Linked DNA regions of Drosophila melanogaster. Changing the gene in region 1 together with any one later gene gives a genetic interaction. Each region holds a gene or a part of one and is shown on either strand. Other genes may lie near its edges.

Region 1 (4,880 bases):
CGCTGGAAGCAATTGCACGATCTCTTCAAGAGCAAACAGGACTCACTCAAGCGTGAGTTGAAAATGGAGGAGGACAAGCTGGAGGCCCAGATGGAGTACGCTCGCTACGAACAGGAGACCGAACTGCTGCGCCAGGAGCTGAAGAAGCGCGAGCTGGACAACGAGCGCATGAAACTGGAGTGGGAGATGCGTGAGAAACAAGCCGAGGAGATTCGAAAGCGGGAAGAGGAATACATGCATCGTTATCAAAACCAATTACTTCGCCATGAGGAGGATATGCGAGCCCGTCAGCAGGAGAACGATTTGCTAATGCAGGCCAAGAAACTCAACATGATCCTCGATCAGCAGGAGGGATTCGGAGGCAGCAACTCTGGATTCGAACACTTTGATTCCCCTTTTGAAGTATTTGGGAACAACAGCAACAATTCAACAATGGCTGGACCTGGAGGTCCAGATAATAGCGACGGAAACCAACACGGACACATTGATTCATGGGGACACCGACGCTTCTAGACACTGAAACCTATATAGATAGCGACGAAAACAATAGTGATCTCATTAGTTACGCATAATATCGGACATTTCGCTCGGCTATGCGTGAACAATAACATAAATAACAAATGGGATCATGCAAGCGAAGATGCATTCATCTCATTATAATATAAATTGAATTTATATAATTAACCAAAAACTGTTAAAAACGGTCTCAACAACAAATCCACCACGAAATATTAACACAAAAATGACAAAATCCAAACACGAATGGCAACTTACAAGATGTGCAGTATTTCGAAGAAAAACACCTGAACATAACCATCCATCATCCATTAGATATATGTAGAGACTACCTCCTAACACGATTAATTTTTGTCTATCATTCAAATTAAATATTGAATGCGACTGAAATTACTGATTATTTGGAGTCGAATATAGATAAAGAGCCTAATTTTTATAATCGTAGATTATACTTTGATTTATGAGTAAATAATCGAAATCGGACTTGCTTTTATTTCAATGTATTTCTCATCCCATCTCTGTCTACTTTTAATAAAAACGGCTCTAACCTAAGGTTTCACTGGGAATTTATGTTGGTAATAAATGTGTTAAAGCGGAAAAGTCGGAAAATGCCATCAGCTCTATTGGGAAATCCGGCAATAAGTTGCAAGGCTGTCCGAAAGGACACATTTCCGCCGGTATCTTCAGTCCCACGACGCTGTCCATATATTAGGTCAAAATGCAATCACTTGTTTAAACAAAAGAATTTATTTGATCAACAGAATGAACTATTGTATGAACCCTCCTCCCATTCACCCAACAATTACACAATTGTATTGTACCGAAGCAATCAAAGATTTCAGTTCAATTACCCGTGGTATAACCATCAATTTGAATTTCCTCGAGATGGAAACAGATGGAAACTCTTCATTTTGTCCAAACGTATATATGTATATATATATATTTTTTTGTAGCTTCGTTAAAGTTCATGATAGTTAAGTACAAATTTCTTTTGAAGTAAATTTTTAGCAATAAACTAAAGCTATTCCGTGCCATTGATATAAGAATTTAAGATCTATATTTACAACATTTTATCTGCATATAATACAAGATGTGGTGGCTTTGAGTTCATTATCTAAGTAAGCCGCTGTTGATTTGCTTGATTAACTAGCAAAAGCCAAAATGATGCTTTGCTTTCCATTTTTGTAGTTTCGAATTGAATAGTACGGCAATTTAATTTTTGATTTATGTATTTATTTTATTAAGCCATTTATGGGCTTTTAGTTCTGCTTATAAAAATCATGATATAGTAAATCAATATTTTATGATAGGATGCTGTCAAGATTTTAAACAAAAATGTAAGCCCAAATGTCAGGTGGCATTAGAATTTAGCATCAGATTTTAGCCAAATCAATACAAGATTTTTAATACAAACTTTTAAAACAGAGTTGTAAAGGGAAAAATTCGATAAGTTCCGATTGAAAGTGCAATCGCTGTTTGAGTGAAACAACCCCTGAATCAGTCATTTCAAAACGTCGATCAACGGTCACACTGCGACTTTGGCGACTTAAAAAACACCCAAGAAAATTGATTTTTCGCTCAAACCGAAAGCAACACCTTTGGGCATCAAATAGATTTCTCGGAATTGAACGCGCACCGCTAGGAAACAAAGAAAAGCCAGCATGGCAGCATCGCAGGTTGACCAGGTGAGCGAAGGGTGGAACTGCCGAAAGCTTTCCGGCCGGAAAACGGCGTCGCCATTGAAGCCCCATTAGTTAATATCATAATGATTCCTCATTTTCCGGCATTTTCCAGAAACGAGCACTTAACAAATTAAAGCACGACTTGGAGCCTTTCCGGACAGCCATCGTGGGAGCGTACGGCGTGCTAACCTGGGAGAAGCAGTACTACGCCGGAGTGGTGTTTGGCGTCATCAGCTGCCTGTACCTGGTGCTGTGGTACCTGGACTTGTCGCTGATTACCCTGCTGTCGCTGCTCGGTGTCATTAGCATTTTGCTGAACTACGCATTCCCCATGGTGTCGCGCCTGATCTTTGGCGGAGTCAACTGGGATGGCGACCAGGAGGCCAAGTTCGAGGACGTGTGCGGCCAGGTGTGCGCCGTCAAGGGCAGCCTGGTGGTCTGGTACGAGTACCTCTTCAACGAGCGGAAGTCCACAGTGGTGAGTAGATGCGGTAGAGACCGTGTGTGTATATGTATATGAAAACAGAGAAGCAGTTTCAGGGCCTAGTATGTGCAGTAGATCTTCTTCTGCAAGCTCAAGTGTAAATAAAAACTTCGGGTTCTATTATTATTTCATCTCACATTTATTCGTTTTGATTCCAGTTTGTAATCGTCATGAGTTTGGGTCTTTTGGCTATGGCCTGGATTGGAGCCATCATTAACAATCTACTGCTTATGTACTTGGCCACCCTACTCATCCTCATGTGGCCAGGACTACAGAACAAGGACATTTTTAAGGCCATCACCCAAAGGGCCTCGAAGATTATTAACGAGAAGATCCAGTGCGGCAAAAGGAAGCTGCAGTAAAGGAAAGCAACCAGATAAACTCATCACCATTTGACCAAAAATATAAAACATGCCTAAGTCATCTACTTGCCATTATGCACACATCGCATCACTAAATCACACATTAGGCGCATTGAATTTGAAACTATAAATATCTTAAAAGATAAGAGCAGCGCATACAGAAAAAAAAAACTCGGAAAACTAGCAAATCCGTGGTTCTGGCCCCATCACATCTCCTACTATAAGTTTGTAACATGTAAGACAGAAGTATTCTCGAAACGAGGCGTACGGAGAGAGAAAAAAACGCGCAACAAAAGACAAGGCATTTTTGTGATTATTTTGTGAGTTAATTGAAATTTATGATAATCCCAAGTAAGATAAAAAAAGGAACTTAAGCGTCTAATGAACTATATTTAAATAAAGATTTCAACTAAATAGATCAATCACTGACGGTCTCTTGACCTTGATCGCGTGCGGGACCTGACATGCTTGCTCCTCTTGGTCTTCTTTTTGTGCTTGCTGTGGTGACGACGATGGTTTTCACCGAGGCTGTCATCGCTCTCTAAGCTGGAGTCGTTGTCCGCCTTTCTCGACTTGTTCTTGGACTTCTTTGAGTGTTTTCTTGACTTGTGGCTGGATGATTTCTTCTTGTGCTTCCTGCGTTCATATGCAGAGTCGGAGTCGCTCTCGGTGGACTCTCCCGTATCGTCTGCCTCGTCTGAACTACTCTTTGTTCTTCTGGTGCTTCGGGGACTTTGCGAACGCTTTTGGTCACGGTCTTCCCGCTTCGACTTAGATGGGCTTCTGCCTCTGGGACTCGGCGAACGACGACGCTCACGTTCCTCGCGTTTAGATACAGAGGAGCTACCACTCCGCACATACTTCTTTTCTCGATCCACCTCCTCTTTGTTAGATTTGGCTTCCTTGTACGATTTTCGCTCGTCTTTGTACGTCCTGCGATGTTCGTCTTTGTACGTTTTTTTGTCTTCATATTTGTAAGACCTTTTATCTTCTTCCTTGCATTTCATGCGATAGTCTTCTTTACTAGATCTCTGGTCCCCTGGCTTCGAACTCTTTTGATTTTGAGCTTCATCCCGGTCTGATCTAATTTCTTCCCTGCGGTCTCTGTCCCTTCTTCCTGACGGATTTTCCTGCTTCACAATAATCTGGCCATGCTCGTTTTCATTTTTTTTGAATTCTTCGTATTTGGCAGTGTCTGAAAGTAAATGTAAAAGAAATATAAAAATGTCACAAATATAAAGGATTTGCATTTTCCAGGCTCCACTTACTTATGCACTTGCCATACTGAGAGTACTCCTTGCGGGATACGGGCTGACAAAGGAACTCGTTGAACGCCTCTTTGGCCCCTCCAATTGCCATTTTGACAATTACTCGCCCTGCATGGTCATCAAAACCTTGGATTTGGCCATACTGATCCTTCTGCTTTCCGCCCAGAATGCGCACGTACGCCTGCTTCTTAATCTCCAGTACCTCGTTCTTCTCCGGCTGGACCAGTAGAGCTTTAGGTTTGAGCGCCTTATCTGCTCCCAGGCCCATGCCTTTGGGTCGCAGAAAGGGGGCATCATCGATGGGTCCTGAGCCCTTCTTTTTTGGCGGTGGATCAACCCAGCCCATGCCGCGCAGCATGGCTAGGCCAAATTGTTGTATCGGTATGTTGTCATAGTCATCTAGTGTTGCCTCCTTGGCACCATCGAGAGGCAGTTCGTCTGCGCTTAGGGCGGGCAGGACAAGTTTCTGGTCATCTAGGCCTTCGGCACCGTTATTTTGGATGGCAGATATCAATTCCCGAGCTGCTCTCTGTTCCAGACTCTCCGTTGGACCGCCTGCGGTGACCTC
Region 2 (6,985 bases), on another chromosome or scaffold:
CAGAGGCTGCTCCAGCTTCAACTACACCATCATCATCACCATCATCATCATCATCACTCCATAATTAATCGCGCCAAGTCGAAAAGCGGCAAAAGAAAGCCAGAAAGCAGACAATGGCTGAACTTCATTTGAAATTCATATTTTAAGTATTCGTCAGTCAATTAGAGAGCCAAGGACCCTGACACCGAATTTGCATTCAGCCGTGAAATTATCAAATTAATATTCCGGCCCCGAGAAGGGGGCGTGCCCCATCACCATCACCCCCGCCCGTCTTTCGCAATAACTGTCAACTCAAACTCAAGAAGTTTTCCACGCCGCACATTTCGGCAAGTTGTCAAGCCAGAGATACGAAAGTTCCCCGGTCCAACAATGCCAATTTGATGGGGGAAATTTTGAAATATTTATACACACTCAAACACACAGATACAGCAGAGGTGTGCTGGCAAAGTTGCCAGCCAAATTTGTTAATTGGAAGCCGAAAGTTTATCTATGAAAATGCTAAAGAAGCCCACTTGCAGTTCGAAAAATGCCAGAATGTATAATAATGGGGCAAGAAATGAGATTAGTCAGTATCCCAAACTTGAATGATCAAAGTTTCATGGATGGCGTAACTAATTTTGAAGTGGAATGATTAAATTTTGAAACTACTTATAATCGATATTACCATCCTGCGATCGGAACAATAAACTCAAACAATTCGATACTTCAATGGGATTGTAAATAATAAGTCATCTTAAATCATCCCAAGCATATTCAAATCGCTTGGAAGCCATTAAAGAGATAAGCGAGCATTGCAAAATGATATCAGCCAACTTGTAACAATTTTCATTGTCATTTTCAATTGGGAGCAGCCAGGAGGAGCTGGCCAAACAACAATGGGAACTGTTATCAAATAGGACACATGATGCATACGTGAGTGGGGGCTTCTATGCACATGGATGTGGTACATACATATGTACGTCCAATATTCTGGTCCATTTGGGCCAGGCCACTATCGAAATTTGAATGCTTAGTGTACCGGGCGACAAGCATCCTCGAACATTGAAATAAACCGATAAAAACGACAGATGAGCCCGGCATTTCGCCCACAATGCATGCCAGGCAGGCAATCGAGTGTGGTCGAGAAATAGTCGGGTAGCCCCCTTTTTGGTTTTGGGGCACAGCTCACTGCCCTGCAATTCTTATATAAAACCGGGGAAGTCCCCATCCCAACCGCCCATGCAAATCTCGAGCACTTGAGGCCGGTCCCCAGATTATTCCTTTTCCCTATTTTGGGCCACGTGGTCTGACCACTTGGCGGCTGCTCCAACTTTAATATTTCTTCGTTTAAATAGTCCTTTATTTCTGCAGAAATTAGACAAAATCAAAGACAATATATTTATGCTATATATTCATTTTCACTGTTATGTCTGTAAGGGTATTCAGAAATGCGCCTACTCTGTGTAGTTTTTCAATTTAGTTAGATACGATGAATATATTGAGATTCTGCCAGATTTAGATTGTGGTGTGTGAGTTTTCAGATTGGTTTGTAAGGACCCCTTTTGTTTGGTCCATATCAATACAAACTCCTCATGTGCATATAAAATAAGTAAAAAGGCAAAATATGAAACAAAACAAAAAGAAAAGGACATTCATATTTTGTAGCTATTGGGGGATTTTAAGTAATGTTATGAAATCATACCTTTCTTTATTTGTGTAAAGTATTCAATACACGCAACTAACGGGCAAAATTGGAAACACCCAAAAATTCAATTTTGGCGCGCACAGAAAGCTGCCCTTTTGGAATAGATTGGCAGCACTCTCGCGCACGGTGGCAACCTCGTCTAGGGACTGCCGATAGCAGCAAGTTCCGCCCGTGTGGCAACACCGCTAGAAAAACAGTCTAAATTTGCTGTGCAACACTGGCGGTTTGCAAAAATAATTTCGGTGCTCGCGTCAATCAGAAAAAGCCGAAAAGAACGGCCTTTATGTGCGCGAATTAATCGCCAGCCGAGTGGAACGCGACCAAAGGAACCCAGCACACACACACACTCAGAATGGAGGCCCTAATTCCGGTCATAAACAAGCTGCAGGACGTCTTCAACACCGTGGGCTCCGACTCCATCCAATTGCCCCAAATTGTTGTTCTAGGCAGTCAGGTAAATGCAAACTGCGAGGTGCCCAAAAATCCGCACACCGAAAACCATAAATCCCCGAGCTCCGTAAAAGGAGTGGCAACTGAGAACCGGAATATGGCGCAGCTATCTGAAACCCCAACTCTTGCGCTTTTCCAGTGACCGCAAAATTATATAACTGAGTGCGTTTGCCGGCATTTTAGTTGTGTTTTCAGTTTGTAGCAACATTTCAGCCAGCTTTCGCTCTTCGCGGCGTCCCCATTGTTTATATAATTATTTTTGGCACTGCTCGCCGCCGCCATGGAAAATCAATATGCCACAGTATTATACAAAAACGAAAAAAAAAACAGCTGCTGGCTGATGTGACACATTCCCCCACGAACACACTGCAAAAAACAAACGTACACATGTGTGACTTCGATAGTTGTGTCTGTATGTACATATATGTGTGCATGTTTCGATCGCTGGCTTAATTGCACTTTGATTCACGCTCTGGAATTAAGTCAGTATGACTAAATGCTCGCGCAACTCATTGATACCGAGTACAGCGGAGCTCCAATATGTTGAATCTGTGCCATTTCTTACCATTCATTTGGTTTTCTGTTGCAAAGGCTTAAGTTTGAGAAATTTGCAATCACAGAATGGCTCCCATTGCCAGATAAGAATAGTTAATCTGCGGTTTTCCAAGTGTTTCCTCGCTGCAAACGCTTGGGAGCCACCTTATCAGGTCATCGTCTTTTATCAGCCGTCGTTTTAACTCCCAGTAATACATACATTTCCCCTTTTTTCCAGAGCTCCGGCAAGAGTTCGGTGATCGAGAGCGTTGTGGGACGATCCTTTCTGCCCCGTGGAACTGGTATTGTGACCCGTCGCCCACTGGTGCTCCAGCTGATCTACAGCCCACTCGATGATCGCGAGAATCGCTCGGCGGAAAATGGTGAGTTGAGACGTCAGAAGTTCGGGAAAACCCAATTGCTAAACCACATAACACTTAGGTACGTCCAATGCCGAGGAGTGGGGCCGCTTCCTGCACACCAAGAAGTGCTTCACGGACTTTGACGAGATCCGCAAGGAGATCGAAAACGAAACGGAGCGGGCGGCGGGCAGCAACAAGGGCATCTGCCCGGAGCCCATCAACCTGAAGATATTCTCAACGCACGTGGTCAACCTAACGCTGGTGGATCTGCCCGGCATCACCAAGGTCCCGGTGGGCGATCAGCCGGAGGATATCGAGGCGCAGATCAAAGAATTGGTCCTCAAGTACATTGAGAACCCGAACTCCATCATTTTGGCTGTGACGGCCGCCAACACGGACATGGCCACCAGTGAGGCACTCAAGCTGGCCAAGGACGTGGACCCCGATGGCCGGCGCACTCTGGCCGTGGTCACGAAACTGGATCTCATGGATGCCGGCACCGATGCCATCGACATCCTGTGCGGCCGGGTCATTCCCGTCAAGCTGGGCATCATCGGCGTTATGAATCGCTCGCAGAAGGACATCATGGACCAAAAGCACATCGACGATCAGATGAAGGACGAGGCCGCCTTCCTGCAGCGCAAGTATCCCACTCTGGCCACCCGGAACGGCACGCCCTACTTGGCCAAGACCCTCAACCGGCTCCTGATGCACCACATCCGGGACTGCCTGCCAGATCTTAAGGTGAGTCTAGTCTATAAAGACTGCATATCGATTTCACAAACTATGCGAGAATCTCAGGCTAAAACTTCAAGAAAATGTAAAAAAATGAAACAAACTTGGCACTCGATTATAATCGATCTTTATATTTTTCTATGGTAAAGCAAGAGAAGATTAATGGCAGATAAGGTTAGAATAGCATGTTGAATTCAAGAGAATGACTTCCCATATTCTTGCAGACTCGCGTCAACATCATGGCCACGCAATTCCAATCGCTGCTGAACTCCTATGGCGAGGATGTCTCCGACAAGAGCCAGACCCTGCTGCAGATCATCACGAAGTTCTCCAGCGCCTACTGCTGCACAATCGAGGGCACGGCCAGGAATATCGAGACCACGGAACTGTGCGGCGGTGCCCGGATGGGCTACATTTTCCACGAGACCTTCGGCCGCACCCTGGACTCCATTCACCCGCTGGCGGGTCTGAGCAAGATGGACATACTGACAGCCATCCGGAATGCCACTGGTCCACGCCCGGCTTTGTTCGTTCCGGAGGTCTCGTTCGAACTGCTAGTGAAGCGCCAGATTCGCCGCCTGGAGGAACCCTCCTTGCGCTGCGTGGAACTCATTCACGAGGAGATGCAGCGCATTGTTCAGCATTGTGGCAACGAAGTGCAGCAGGAGATGCTGCGGTATGTGAACTCATGATAGCTGAACGCCAAAGGTTTTCATCGATCTCCCCTACAGCTTTCCCAAACTGCACGAGAAGATTGTGGACGTGGTCACCCAGCTGCTGCGTCGACGTCTGCCGCACACCAACGTGATGGTGGAGAACATTGTGGCCATCGAGCTGGCCTACATCAACACCAAGCACCCCGACTTCCACAAGGATGCCGCTTTGGTGCCCAGTCTGCTGAAAACGGACAGCGATCCCTACTCACAGATAAATCTGGGGCAGCGGCGGGCCAATACACCGCGAAACCACATGTCGCCTCAGATTTCGTCGCACAGTGCTGGTTCACAGCAGCCGCAGCAGCAACAGCCGCCGCAGCCGAATTCCTCACAGCAGCAATATAGCCAAGTGCATGAGCAGGTGCCAGCGGAATCTTCATTTATGTATGCAACCTATTTAACCCATTTTCGTTTCGCTCTCTAGAACCACGTCGCCGAGAACTCGACGCCTTCGATGGCCAGCACATGGCTGTCAAACATTTTACCGCCGGCACCAACGCGTCCGGACAGCATTGAGAACTCGACCAACAACACTCCGGTTCACAATAACATCGTGAGTCCAGTGAAGCCGGTCAATCTGCTGCCCGATGTGCCGGCCAACCACAATCCACGTCGCCTCACTGACAAGGAGCAGAAGGATTGCGATGTCATCGGTGGGTTGCACTTAACTCGGGCCACTTAAAGACCTAACTCAATCTGACTACTTTTTGTTTTTAGAACACCTGATCAAATCGTATTTCTACATTGTGCGCAAATCCATACAAGACTCGGTTCCAAAGGCCATCATGCATTTCTTGGTTAACTACGTTAAGGACAACTTGCAGAGCGAATTGGTTACACATCTGTATAAGTCGGATAAGGCTGAAACCCTGCTCAACGAGTCCGATCACATTGCAGTGCGCCGAAAAGAGGCGGCAGATATGCTGAAGGTGCGCTTGGCTAGCTTATACTTAGCTTGACATCGTTTTAAACTTACTTTTGATTTCAGGCACTGACGCGAGCGAATCACATCATCAGCGAAATCCGCGAGACCCACATGTGGTAGGCTGGTCAGCGATTGGAGCAACCCGTTTCGACTTAATAATCCCCGCATATAAGCAACATAAAAACTATTTATTGAAGACGCGTTCAAAGAGAACGAACTCCTTTGTTAAATGTTCCCCCTACCGAGCACTGAAATATCATCAAATTGCATGCGACCCCCAAATTCTGGGCCTTTCATTTAGCCAACTCGCATTTCTATTCGCCTGGCATTTGTCTATCATCGAGCCTCTCCGCTTTTTAAATTAATAAGAAGTTGTAGACGCCGTGATTGGTTTGATTAGGTTACTCAAAGCACTTATTACACATTGAATAGTCAAATAAAGCAGAAAAGGTTGATTCAAACATAGTAGATGTGTTTTCTGTCACGGCAGCTAAAAGTTTACGAAGGCAACGTCATCATGTTGAATGATACACCTGGAATTTCGATTAGATAAGCCATTATGTTCGTAAAGTTGCTAGGCTCAGTCTGAAGATTAATAAGTGTTTAAATCTGATAGGAGTTGAATCTTCCTGAGTTTTGAGATGCGTAGCAATTGCTTAGCCTTACTAAAAACAAAATTTTTCTTACAAATTATGTTACATGTAGGTGTGGCTTGAGTGAACTAGAAGTACGTTCGTTCCCCTGATTGAAATCACTGCCACTCACCTTTCGTAATAAAAACTTTAATACTTGGATACCAGTTAAAATCTAATTTGGAAAACGTCATTTGTATTGCGGCGAAGAAACAGAAGTGGGTTCCAGCTGGGGCGTGGCAAATCCCGAAGATAAGGATGTGGTGTCCAGTGCTCCAATCCTGTGTTGATTAAATGCTCCGCGATGCGTATGAATCGGTTTATGGGGCAGGGAACAGTTGGGGTAGTGACTCTATGACCGCCTTTGGCTGTGCTGATCTCCTCTAGGCGCGATTTGTGTCGGACAGCACGCGGACAATGCAGCCCACTCCTCCCTTGGCGAAGGCCTTCTCATGCCACTGCAGCAGGTGGCCACTGGAGCCCTCCGAGGGGATCTCGAATCCCCGATATATGTACTTCATCAGCACGTCTATTAGGTCGTTCTGGTCCAAGGTGTCGATGGCCTGGTCCATTTGCGTCGACTTGATGGACAGCAGCACCCGCAGCGTGATGTTCAGGGCGTGGTCCTGCAATGCAAGGAAGGATTAGCTTTATAGGGTTCTCGATACGAATAGGTGTGGCTACCCACCTTCACATTCTGGTTCTTGCAGCGCAGCGGGGCATTCTGCAGCGCACTCAGGAGCGCCTCCACGGATTTTCCCTGCGTCAGCAGCGTCGTAATCTCGCTCTCATCCGGACCGGCTGCCGCGCTCTCCACCCCATCATCCTCCCGGAAGTTGTCCTCATTGTACTGGTCCACATCGATCTTGCGGAACGCGTTGCTGGACGTGTTTTTGGCCATGTTTTCGCTAAATTCCCACCACTTTTCTCTACAAAAATATGAATCA

The links.
Region 2: of Arl6IP1 (region 1) and Drp1, changing one suppresses a phenotype caused by changing the other (phenotypic suppression), as found in Drosophila melanogaster (one study listed by BioGRID).

What each region holds. Positions count from the first base shown.
Region 1 is NT_033777.3:16,641,708-16,646,587, forward strand, and holds Arl6IP1 (ADP-ribosylation factor-like 6 interacting protein 1), read left to right. Parts: upstream 1-1,897; 5' UTR 1,898-2,177; coding exon 2,178-2,201; intron 2,202-2,310; coding exon 2,311-2,676; intron 2,677-2,840; coding exon 2,841-3,044; 3' UTR 3,045-3,464; downstream 3,465-4,880. Other genes in the region: nonA-l (nonA-like), read left to right, coding at 1-513; CG10324 (uncharacterized protein), read right to left, coding at 3,467-4,239, 4,313-4,880.
Region 2 is NT_033779.5:2,580,323-2,587,307, reverse strand, and holds Drp1 (dynamin related protein 1), read left to right. Parts: upstream 1-1,877; 5' UTR 1,878-2,036; coding exon 2,037-2,138; intron 2,139-2,906; coding exon 2,907-3,051; intron 3,052-3,109; coding exon 3,110-3,774; intron 3,775-3,989; coding exon 3,990-4,441; intron 4,442-4,496; coding exon 4,497-4,842; intron 4,843-4,905; coding exon 4,906-5,134; intron 5,135-5,198; coding exon 5,199-5,410; intron 5,411-5,469; coding exon 5,470-5,526; 3' UTR 5,527-6,027; downstream 6,028-6,985. Other genes in the region: Arpc5 (Actin-related protein 2/3 complex, subunit 5), read right to left, coding at 6,422-6,664, 6,727-6,939.